2 linked regions of the Arabidopsis thaliana genome follow. The protein of the gene in region 2 interacts with the protein of the main gene of each other region in a pairwise test. Each region holds a gene or a part of one and is shown on either strand. Other genes may lie near its edges. The genes, in order: AT5G45490 and AT3G23060.

The links.
Region 1: the proteins of AT3G23060 (region 2) and AT5G45490 interact in a two-hybrid assay, tested with the Arabidopsis thaliana proteins (one large-scale study listed by BioGRID).

Annotation. Positions count from the first base shown.
Region 1 is NC_003076.8:18,426,812-18,432,699, reverse strand, and holds AT5G45490 (P-loop containing nucleoside triphosphate hydrolases superfamily protein), read right to left. Parts: upstream 3,654-5,888; 5' UTR 3,578-3,653; intron 1,984-3,577; exon of another isoform or gene 1,659-1,983; 5' UTR 1,637-1,658; coding exon 572-1,636; downstream 1-571. Other genes in the region: AT5G45500 (RNI-like superfamily protein), read left to right, coding at 1-64; AT5G45480 (transmembrane protein, putative (DUF594)), read left to right, coding at 3,771-5,888. UniProt on the Arabidopsis thaliana protein: Possible disease resistance protein.
Region 2 is NC_003074.8:8,198,521-8,203,835, reverse strand, and holds AT3G23060 (RING/U-box superfamily protein), read right to left. Parts: upstream 3,201-5,315; 5' UTR 2,969-3,200; coding exon 2,863-2,968; intron 2,473-2,862; coding exon 2,373-2,472; intron 2,295-2,372; coding exon 1,880-2,294; intron 1,796-1,879; coding exon 1,293-1,795; intron 1,229-1,292; coding exon of another isoform or gene 1,206-1,228; coding exon 1,155-1,205; intron 1,067-1,154; coding exon 994-1,066; intron 915-993; coding exon 720-914; 3' UTR 501-719; downstream 1-500. Other genes in the region: CFM3A (CRM family member 3A), read right to left, coding at 1-288.

The sequences.
Region 1 (5,888 bases), on a different chromosome or scaffold from region 2:
AGTTAGTCTCTGCCCCTGCGATGGAATTGGAATCTGGCGCAAGCCTGAAGAAGATGAAGTCTAAAGCATCTCAGAACTGAGAGTTTCTCGGTTTATCAAGTTTTCTTCCTCGTTGTCTTTTTCTTTTGTTGTTGTTGTTGTTGTGTGTTTGCTTCCTCATTTCCCATTGATGTCTTTCTGGTTTTGCGTGCAAGTGTTGTTGTTTGTGAACAGTTGAATAATGGAAATTTGCTTTGCTTATTATGTGATACTTGTGTTTTACAGAAGCTACGAAGGAAGAAGAAAATATATTATAATTTACTGAGAAGGTCTACAAGTGAAGAGAGGCTAAGAGCAAGAAACTCTGATAAACTGCAAATGCAAGAGTACTAAGGAAAGAAGCTCTCTTAATAGTCTCTCTGCTAATTGAAAGGTCAAGATACATTACTCAGAGATTCTGGTTTATTTGATAACAACAGTGTAACAAACAGACAACATCAAACAAGAAACACATACAAGAAATAAAAGAAGCATAAGCAAGGTTGATAATAAGCAATCTTGAGCCAAGAGGCTGAGTCAAGTTATCCACTTCTCAGGAGCTGGCCTGGTTTGCAGGTTGGCGGTTCGATGAGTCGGTTTGTCCATGGGTAGAACCAACAGGGCCAACTTCATCGTCAACAAAGACGGGATCACGCTCAGCCAACAGTCTGGCAGCCAGAGGAAGACCACGAGACTTATTCATCAGCTCATCTATACATTTCTTGTCGTTCCTTGGTGACTCTTTCTGTTTATCTTTAACCACTGCATCATATATCTTCCAGACACTCTGATGATCAGACAGCGGCCAAAGACGATGGATCTCATGTTTCTGAGCAACAAGGTTCTTCGCCAGATTCTCATCTCTGGTCGTGTATATGACTCTCCCACCAGACCCTTTAGGGAATCCATCTGAAAGATACTTTCCCCATTTCTCATCCTCCTTGAGTTTCGCATCAAGCTTTTCGTCCCAGTTATCGTTTTCCCGAACATCATCAAACACAATCAGATATTTCTTCCACCTCAGATTCAAGTGAAGTGCATAGAGCAGAGCAGAGAGCTCCTTCTCTTTCTCCGTCTCTCTATCAATTTCTCCAGCTTCCTGATTGCTTGCAACTTCCTCATTGTCCTTAAATTCTTGTTTGGCATCAGTACTGATAGTTTCGAGGATTAACTCTTCAACTCCAAGACCCTTCAAGATCTTCTTCAACACACATATCTTCCCATCAAGTCCCTCCTTAGATTCTTTGTTTTCCATAGACACCCAAACCCTGGGAGCATAAACACTCTTCACAGCTTCATCATTGAAGATCTTCTGGCATAATGCTGTCTTCCCAACACCATATTCTCCGACAATCACAAGACTCTTGAACTCCCTCCTAACCTTCTGATCCAACAAGAAGTGTTGCAATGACTTGATCTCGTTATCGAAACCGTGGATGTCATGGCCCGGAAGTTTAGACTCGGTTTTCAGACGCTCTTCTTCTTCATTATCATCTCTCTTCTTCTCCAAGTTTCCTTTAGCAAGACCATTTACGTCGAGCCAGTCCTTACAGGTCGTAATGAAGTTGGTTGTGAATTCGTTTGTGAGGACTGCCTGTTGTAGATTTTTTGAAGGCATATTCAAGGAAAAACGGAGAAATCTGCAGAAAGAAGATGATGAAGAAATGGTTAGGCAAAGGAGAGAGAGAGAGAGAGAGGTATGAGAATTAAGTAAGGAACACTTTTGAACTACAACAATTAAGTTGATTTTAGTAGATTGGACATAGAAAATTAGTTATTTAGAGACAGATTGAATCGGTAACAAAAGACATTGGGCCAAATTCATAAATTACGTCAGGTTATATTATAGTATAAATAATTATAATCTTTTCAAAAAGCTGATAAATAGACAAAAACCGATAGCCGGCAAGAAAAATTATAATCAATATTGTTTTAAAAAAATGTTTTTAGAAAAATGCGAAAATATCACATTACTAATTTTTTGTTCCAAAAATATTATCACTAGTTTATTTTCCCAATAATACCACTAATTTTTGTATAAAAATGTTTGTTTGACCAAAATAAATTACAATATTTCCACCATTCAAAAGAGTCTTCTTAATATGAATTTGTGATATTCTTGAAAAAAAAAACTAAAATATAGTATTTTTAGAACAAAAACTTTAAAAATGATATTAAGAAAAGTGCCTTTTTTTTTAAATTGATGTGATGTAAAACCTTTGAAGAACAAAAGAGTTTTTATCATTTAAGAAAGAAAAAAAAAACAATTATCTAAAATCAAATTGACGTTTTTTTCATTTTTAAACAGACGTGTTTGATTATTGTATAATCACAACTTGTTTTGCATAAAAGTTTACTAATAAATATAAATAAATATTAACGACAAGATACATCGTTCCCACGTTAATATATACACAACAATTTCGTTAGGAAAATATAATTAAAAGACCTACATCTCTAAAGTCATCGTTATATTGACATACAAAAGTCGTCGTTACTATACTTTTAAAGCTTCGATTATTAAAATGCCCGACTCTACCATGGTTAATACATCCAACCCAAGTGTAACATATTTTTTAGTTTATATCCAGCTGTGATTATTATTATATTTAATAGGTAATATTAGAATATAAAGTTGAATATCCCAACTCGCTTTCTGGAAATTTTGTCATCACATGAGAGACAAAGACGTGAGAAAATAAATATTTTCGTAAGTAAAATTAATATGGTTGGTGGGGAAATTTAATTTTGGAATTTTTTAAAATTATCTATAATTGGAGAAAATAAATGACTCTTAGACCATAGCCATAAATACTCTGTATATCCATTCGAATTTAACGTTACTGGCCACGTCATGTGATAATAATTGAATTGCTACCAAGTAAGGGAAAGTACCAAGTAAGTTCCACTAGAAAACGTGATTTTCGTTAGAAAATAACGAAGCAAGAAGTATGGTCAACAAATGGTTCGATATATTTAATTCCATTTTTGGTTGCCGGGTAAAAAAGAGAAAGTTAGAAATATTATAAAGTTTGAATATATAATTAGAAATTTTTTTAAAGAAAAACTTAAAAGTGGTTTCTTGGAGAAGTAACAAATATTGAGATGTGAAAACTTTTCCCGTTGTCACTCATTCCAATGTCTAAGGTCATTGAGATAACCTCGTAATCGTATATCTAACTACTATACTTTTGCAGTGTTATTCTTTAACCATGTGATTTTAAGGAAAAAGACGAGAAATATTTAGATAAAAAAGGGATTAAAAATAAAATATGTTTCTATAAAACCACTCAAAATAGTTAGTTTAAATAAATTTATGCAAAAAGAGGACAAGATAAACATAGCATTATAATTTTTACAAAACAAATATAGCATATATTCCCTTCATATCATTTCGTTATCAAAAGAACCAGTGGGCTCTTTGAATACTTGTTCTTCACATTTTAAAAATGAGGTAAAGAGTAAAAATTAGCAACAGACACGAATCAGATAAATTTTCGAAAATTAAACCAAAAAAAAAAGAAAAAACTTAGAGACCTGTAAGAACTGTTTGACTAACCTCAAGGTCTCCAAGTAGCCTCCAATGGCTGTCCAACCAGAATAATTCAAACCTTCACACACAACAAAAAGCCTCAAAAGCAAAAAAACTCATAGTAAAACCAGAAAAAGAAAGAAGTCAACCTCTTTAGATGTATCTGTGTTAGATCTCATAAACCATCAGTTCTTGTCTGTTTCAGCAAATCAGTTTCAAGATGGTGAACGCAATCCCAAAGCCTATCAAGGACATTTGGGACGAATGGAGCATTCGAAGTACCTTAATCTTCAGTCTCAGCCTTCAAACATTTCTCATTTTCTTTGCACCTCAAAGAAAACGCTCATCCAGAAAAGTTTTACTCTCTTTCATTTGGTCAGCTTACCTTCTTGCTGATTGGTCTGCCAATTTCGCCGCCGGACAAATCTCAGATAGTCAAGGAGATGATCCAGAACCCGGAGAACCGAAAAAGAGCGCCGAGTTGTTTGCTTTCTGGGTTCCTTTCTTGCTCTTGCATCTCGGTGGTCCAGATACAATCACTGCCCTTGCCCTTGAAGATAACGAGCTCTGGCTCAGGCACTTGTTGGGTCTTTTCTTTCAATCAGTTGCAACCGTTTACGTGCTTTTGCAGTCGTTACCCAATGCTCTTTGGAAACCTATTTTGCTGGTGTTTGCGACCGGGGTGATCAAGTATGTCGAGAGGACATTAGCTTTGTACCTGGCGAGTCTTGACAAGTTCAAAGATTCCATGATTCAGCGGCCTGATCCTGGACCAAACTACGCAAAGCTCATGGAGGAATACGCAGCCAAGAAAGATATGAAGATGCCTACACAGATTATCAAGGTTGGCGAGCCTGAGAAAGATCCAAGAGACGATGCTCCGGTAAAGCCTCCTGACGGGTTCACTCCACTCAATATTCTCCAGTACGCCTACAAGTACTTTAATATCTTCAAAGGTCTTGTGGTTGATCTCATCTTTACATTTCAACAACGAGCTGAGAGCAAGAGATTCTTTGACTCGCTGAAAGCAGAAGAAGCTTTAAGAATCTTAGAGGTTGAGCTCAACTTTATCTACGCAGCTCTATACACGAAAGCCGAGATCTTGCACAACTGGATAGGATTCCTCTTCAGGTTCATTGCCCTGGGATGCCTTGCAGCAGCTCTACGCATCTTTCAATACAAGAGCAAGAAAGATTATAGTGGATTTGATGTTGGCCTTACTTACGCATTGCTGTTAGGAGGAATAGCTCTGGATTGCATCGCTCTTATCATGTTCTGTGCATCTGATTGGACGTTTGTCAGATTGAGGAAGATGAAGGACGAAGTGGACGATCCACCCACCTGGTCCGACAACATTCTTAACTGGATTCTTGAAAACATTCTCGGGGTCAGGAAATTGAAGGTGGAGGAGTATGATGAATGCTACAAGAATACACAGTCTCATGAAGTGCCCAACACGAGTACTAAGAAAACACCATTTCTTAAAAGGATTCTTAACAGGATTCTCAGGGTGAGGGAGTTGAAGACAGAGAAGTCTCATGAAGTTCTCGACAAGAGTACCAGCAAAATACCAGGTCAGGAAGTGCCCGACAAGAGTGCCAAGACAATACCATGTCATAAAGTGCTCGACACGAGTTTCATGTATCGCCGGTGGTCTGAGTATGTACATGCACACAACCTGATCGAATACTGCCTAGGTTTAAAACCGAAGCGAATCCACCATACCAAGGGTTTCATACACATCGCCTTTGACAAGGTTATCAACATACTTTACATTGGCCCCGCATTCACAAAACTTGGAAGTGTCATTGAATCCTGTTTTAGAGTCACAAAACAGAGAATTCATCAGACTTTCAAGTGGATTGACGGTAAAGTAAGTCGTTTATGCAAGAAATACCCGAAGTTGAATGAAGAGTACATTAGGTTTAGCTTCTTCTGCATATTTTACATTCCTAGTCTACCTGGACGCTGGATAAAAAGTTTTATGGAGTTCTTTGGCATCCGAGCTCAGCTAGATGAGGTGATCTACACATCTAGTGATCGTCTCACCCTGGATATGTGGGAACACATATTCGGAGAGGTTAAAGCCAAATCCCGTTTCGCTGACGACTCTGAAAGCGCCATGAGGGTATCTTCAGCAAGAGGTGACTGGACACTGCGCGACATACAAGGTGACCCAGAAACAGAAAAAAAACGTGAGAAACTTCTACGCTATGTGATGGAAATGGATTACGATCAGAGCCTTCTTGTATGGCATATAGCCACTGAGCTCTTATACCAGACAAAAAAAGGCACTAAAGCGAATCATAGCGCCCGTGAGTTCAGTAAAATCCTGTCA
Region 2 (5,315 bases):
CCCTTCTTTTCGATAATTCACAACTACCTTTGGAGGTTTAGGTTGATTACGTTTCTGAATTCTATTCCAATTCTCTAGCCACACACCATTATTACAATCCCTACTAAAGCTAAACCTCCTCGATGCAATTTGATCATTTCTCGAACTAAAGGTAACACCTTTACAAGACCCAAGTGAAATTGATGAACTATACCTTAAGAAACGGAAGCAGAAGGAGCTTTGAAACGAGTAGACAAACTTCTTCGTGACAGTAGTTGGGCAAAAATGGAGACTGGGCTTCATCGCCATTGTTGGTTTATTCACATAGAAATGTTTCTGTAATCCAATCCATATAAAAATTGAAACTTTCAATAAAAATTTCACCTTTAGTTCGTCACTAAGCTCCTGGCTCTGTGTTTATCCATGGCGGGCAAAAAAGAAGACTGTTTGGATACAGATCTTTCGTTAACCCTACCTTAAACCAAACAGAGCACAAAACCGGCGCATCTTATCAAATATAACTCAAGCTAGCTAAAATGAGCTTCTATTTAATTAGTACAAAACGATACCGTTTGAGTCCTCAAAAAGCAAGCAAATCAAATAAATAAAGAGTTTTCCATATTTAGGTCTCAGCAATTATTAAATAAAGAAAGATGCTAAAACTAGAAGTCTTTCAAAAGAAACTTATTCTGCAAGAAATGAGTTTAGAAGAAGAGTAAAGTTTGAAGTTCTGAGAAGAATTATTCAGAGGCAGAGCCAGAGTCAGAGGCGTCAGATTTGAAGCTGTAATAGAGATCCATGATGAATTCAGCAGCGGAGCTTCCGACCATCGCGCTTTGTCGCTCAGGCAATGGAGTTGTTTGGACCCACCAATCCACCAAGTTATGTAGTGTCAGTGACGAACACACTGGCTCATCCCTTAACCATATCTCCACCTGCAAAAGAACATCAAAAAATATTAGAGTTAAAAGACAAGAGAGAGTGAGACATAGATAGAGAGAAGAGTTAGTTTACTTGGTCTTCGCTTTCGAGACCGAGCTTCACCATTAGATACTTCTTGAGATATGAGACAGTCATGTTGCTATCTCTGTGAACATAAAAACAAATCAAAGAATCAATATCACACATTCTACAACAACAACAGAGATTATAGTTGAAATTTAATTAGTACTTACTTTACTCTTATGCAGCAAGCGGTGATCGGTGGAAGTAGCATTTCAATGTTCCTGAAAACCGAAGAAACCGAGTCCTTCAAATATAAACAGAATCATAAGTTAAAGACATGAAAAAAGAAGATAGAAAAAAAGTTTTACTGAGTCTTGGAAGGCTTTAGTGAAAACCAAACTGGATTGTTGTTACGTCCTTCTTCAACTTTCATCTCCTCTTCCACGGAAACCGGAGCTTCTGGTGTAGTAGTACCAGCTGCTGGATTAACCGTCCTCCTGCCTATTCGGGGTCTCAAAGAATAGCTCTTTTCCACCGGTTTCTTACCTTTCTTCTTCCTTGATCTGGAGGTAGCAGCACCATTGGTCTTCAGTTTCTGACCAGAGTTGTCCTCTCTATCCCTATCAGAGCTAATAAGGAGACTGTTTTGATTCACTTGAACAGGAACTTCCTTTGTTTCTCTATTCACAACACACTTGTTCTGAATAGGTTCAACAGATTCCTCTGTGTCGTCATCCGAACTTATCTCAGGCTCAACGATATCAGGAGGAGTATCGTTGATGTTTAGAGTGACAGAGAGAGAGAAAATAGGTTTACAAAGATCTTTCTCCTTTGGTACGACTTCCTGAAAAGTTGATCCTTCAGCTTCGTCCTAAGATGCATAAACACATTAGTTGCAAACAGATAGTTAACAAAGGAGAACAATAGTTATACAAAGACTCATATACATACTTACCAATCCATTGTCTTCAGGTTCGTTGTTCAGGTCAAATAGATTCTTAATTTTAGGCTCCTTAGGAGGCAGTTCGGGTTCTGGTTTCGAATCAATCTTCTTCGGGAGTGAAGCTTTTCTCCCACGTTTCTGGAACGTGATTATCGGTTTTCTAGTGCTTTGAAGAGCTAGAACGGTCTCCCTATGTTTCTCCTCCACAACCACATTAGGTGGTTCCACAACCACATTGGCTGGTTCCAATGGAGTATCAGGTGAGGATGATACTCTAGATGAAGAGACCCGCAGTGAAGTTCGAGATTTTCTCTTCTTTTTCGAAGATTTCACAGACGCTGCAACAGTTTTAGGTCCTGCCTTCTTTAAGCTTTCCATCATTGCTCGGTAGATTTTCAGCTTCAAATCCTGCCAAGTGCAATCCGACCTGCACTTATATAGATACCTCAAATCACATAAAAGCATAAAGATAGATGCAAATGCTAAGAATCAAACAAGTTCATACCGAAGTTTCTCTAGAGGAAAAACACCGAGGTTAACGTTGCAGACTGGACAAGCGTTCACTCTCTCATTTATGAACTTGTTACGAATGCAGCTCCTGCAAACTGTTACCACAAATTCCACAAGTCCCAATTCATATAAAGACACAAGATATACCAATACTTAAAGCCAGGACTAGAAACATAACAAGCTAAAGAAACAGCAACTTTGAAATCACAAAGACATAAACAGACACTGAATCATCCACTTACAAAAAAAAACAGTCCTTATCTGCTTACCTTAATATTTACACAGATACATGTTGAAACACACACAACAACACCAAAAAGCTAAACAAAACATCGGTTTCAACTTCCAAGTTTCAGAATCAATCTGATATAATCTCTAGTCTACACTAATTAATATAACCAATAAACAGAGAGATAGTCACAAACAAAAAATCAGAATCTAAATCACAAAGATAAAGGAAAAAACAATCGAAGGGTTACACTTACAGGTGTGGAGACACTCGGAGATTGTGGTGGCATCCTTAAACGGATTAGTGCAGATTGGACAAGCAAGGCATGGCTTAACCTCCTTACTAAGCACCTTTGTTAACATCTTTCTCTCCGATTCCCAAACTCAACAAATCGATAAGATTTATTGATTATATAGCTTCTTCGTTCACGTAACACAACATGGTGCATGAACGAAGAAGAAGACAAACCCACAAAAAAAAGTGTCTAGCTTTATTGTTGGTTTTCTCAGAGAGAATCGATTGTTGAAAAGATTGGATTTTGGTCTCTCAAGTTTCGCTCTCTCTGTCTCTCTCAGAGAAAAAAAAAATCTGTGTAAGAAGAGGTTTTGATTTTGGAAGAGTTTGCTTTTAAGTATTTTTAGAGAGGGTTGGTTTTAAAACTATGAATAATTAGAGAGGGTCAAAGTGACAGAAAGCTAAACTTCGGTGGCTCACAAAGAAAATATATTATAGTTTTTATGCCAATGATTACATGAGTGATGCATTAGGTTTAATTTATATTTAACAATTTATTGCAAAGTTTTTCAAATATAGAGTTACAAATTTGTTCATAAAAGGTCTACATTGTATATATATTTTTATATTTATTTTTCAGGCTCTTTAGTTTTCTTTTTGTTAACTTATAATCATTATGTTTTGGCCGTTACTAATTTATAAGGAAATTACATTTTTTCTTACGTAAGCAATTACGTATTTAACAAATAAAAATTTAGATTTTTTAACTATTTAAGTAGTATAGAATTAAATGAGTATTTCTTACTTAACATCTCTAAAGATTTTTGTAAATTTCTATGTAGGTTTTGTTCAATATCGGGAAAAATATCTACGTGTCAAAAACTTTCAATCTTACTAAAACATTTACAACATTTTCTTACGTCACCAATTACGTATTTAACAAATGAAAATTTAGATTTTTTACTATTTAAAATTTAATTAAATGCTTATCCTTTGACTTAAAATCTTTAAATATTTTGTAAATTTCTATGTACGTTTTGTTCAATTTCGAGAAAAATATCTACATGTAGTTTACGTGTTCAAAATTTTTAAATTCTTCTATAAAATTTACATCTTTTTGACGTCAGCAATTACGTATTTAACAAATGAAATTTTAGATTTCTTACTATGTAAGTAAAATTAAATTAAATGCGTATTTCTGACTTAAAATCTCTAAATACACTGTAAATTTCTTTCTATGTTTGTTCAATTTCAAGAAAAATATCCGCATGTAATATACTTGTCAAAATTCCAAATCTTTCTAAACAATTTCATGTATATACATTGAATTTCATATTGGACCATACCAAATTTCTGTATTATGCGAGATATACTGTTTAATTTATATTTTTCCTAAACTGATGCTACATGTGTAAAAATGATCTCATATATTATTTGACGAGTTAGAGAGAATATTTATAAATATTTCCTACATGTCTTTACAAGAATACAGTTTTAGGAATTGGTTTTTGTTTTTACGTAAAAATAATGTTTAAGCTACTTTTATTAGTGTTTTGAAATGTGTAGTACAAGAACAATGTCTCTTGGAAAATATTTCTGAATCTCCTTAATGAATTTTATGATAAGATTTTATAGAATTTACATTAGTCCTGTATAAATTCACATTAAATGTATTATAGACAAAACATTGGTATATAAAGAATACTACGTGAAAATATTTGTGAATCCTTTTTGTGAAGTGTTTGATATATGAGGAGATATTTCATGTCTAAAATCTAATTTATCATAAAACAAAAATAGTGCAATGTAGATTTTCAAAAAAAAGAAAAACATTTTCACCTATCTTTTGTTCTTATTTTGTGTGTCAACATATTCCCTTCGCTTTATTTTCTTAAGTGTAAATAAAAGGGCCTTCCTGGAAAGTAAACTATAATAAACGAACCTCTAAAAGATGTAAACTAGGCCTTGCATATTATGGCCTCATGAGGCTTTTGGGTTTGTACTAGTTTGGATTTATTTGTAAAGTGTCATCATGTATCAAATTTTGAATTCCTATGGCCACTCTCTTAGACATTGCAAGAATTGAATGGTCGTACGAAATTAAGAAAACAGATATTTAAGTCAAAAAAATAAATCTTTGGAATGAAACTTCACGTACATGATAATGATTGTTAATATGCTGATTATATATATATTGAACTCAGAAACTTAAAGTCTAGTACAAAAACAGAAACAGAAATAAAAGAGTCCAAACTCCCATATATAGCAGTTCAAATATCATAATAACATAAACATTTCGAATTTGTGGTTTTAATTTAGTAAACAATTGGACATGCTACTATAATTTCTTAAACTGCTTTTTCAAAACTAAACACGTATTATCTCCAGAGTCCAGATCATTTGAATATTTATTGTTTGTGTAATCTGGGTCTTTTCTGTTTGATATATTATTTGCATTTAGCATTGTTTTGGAAA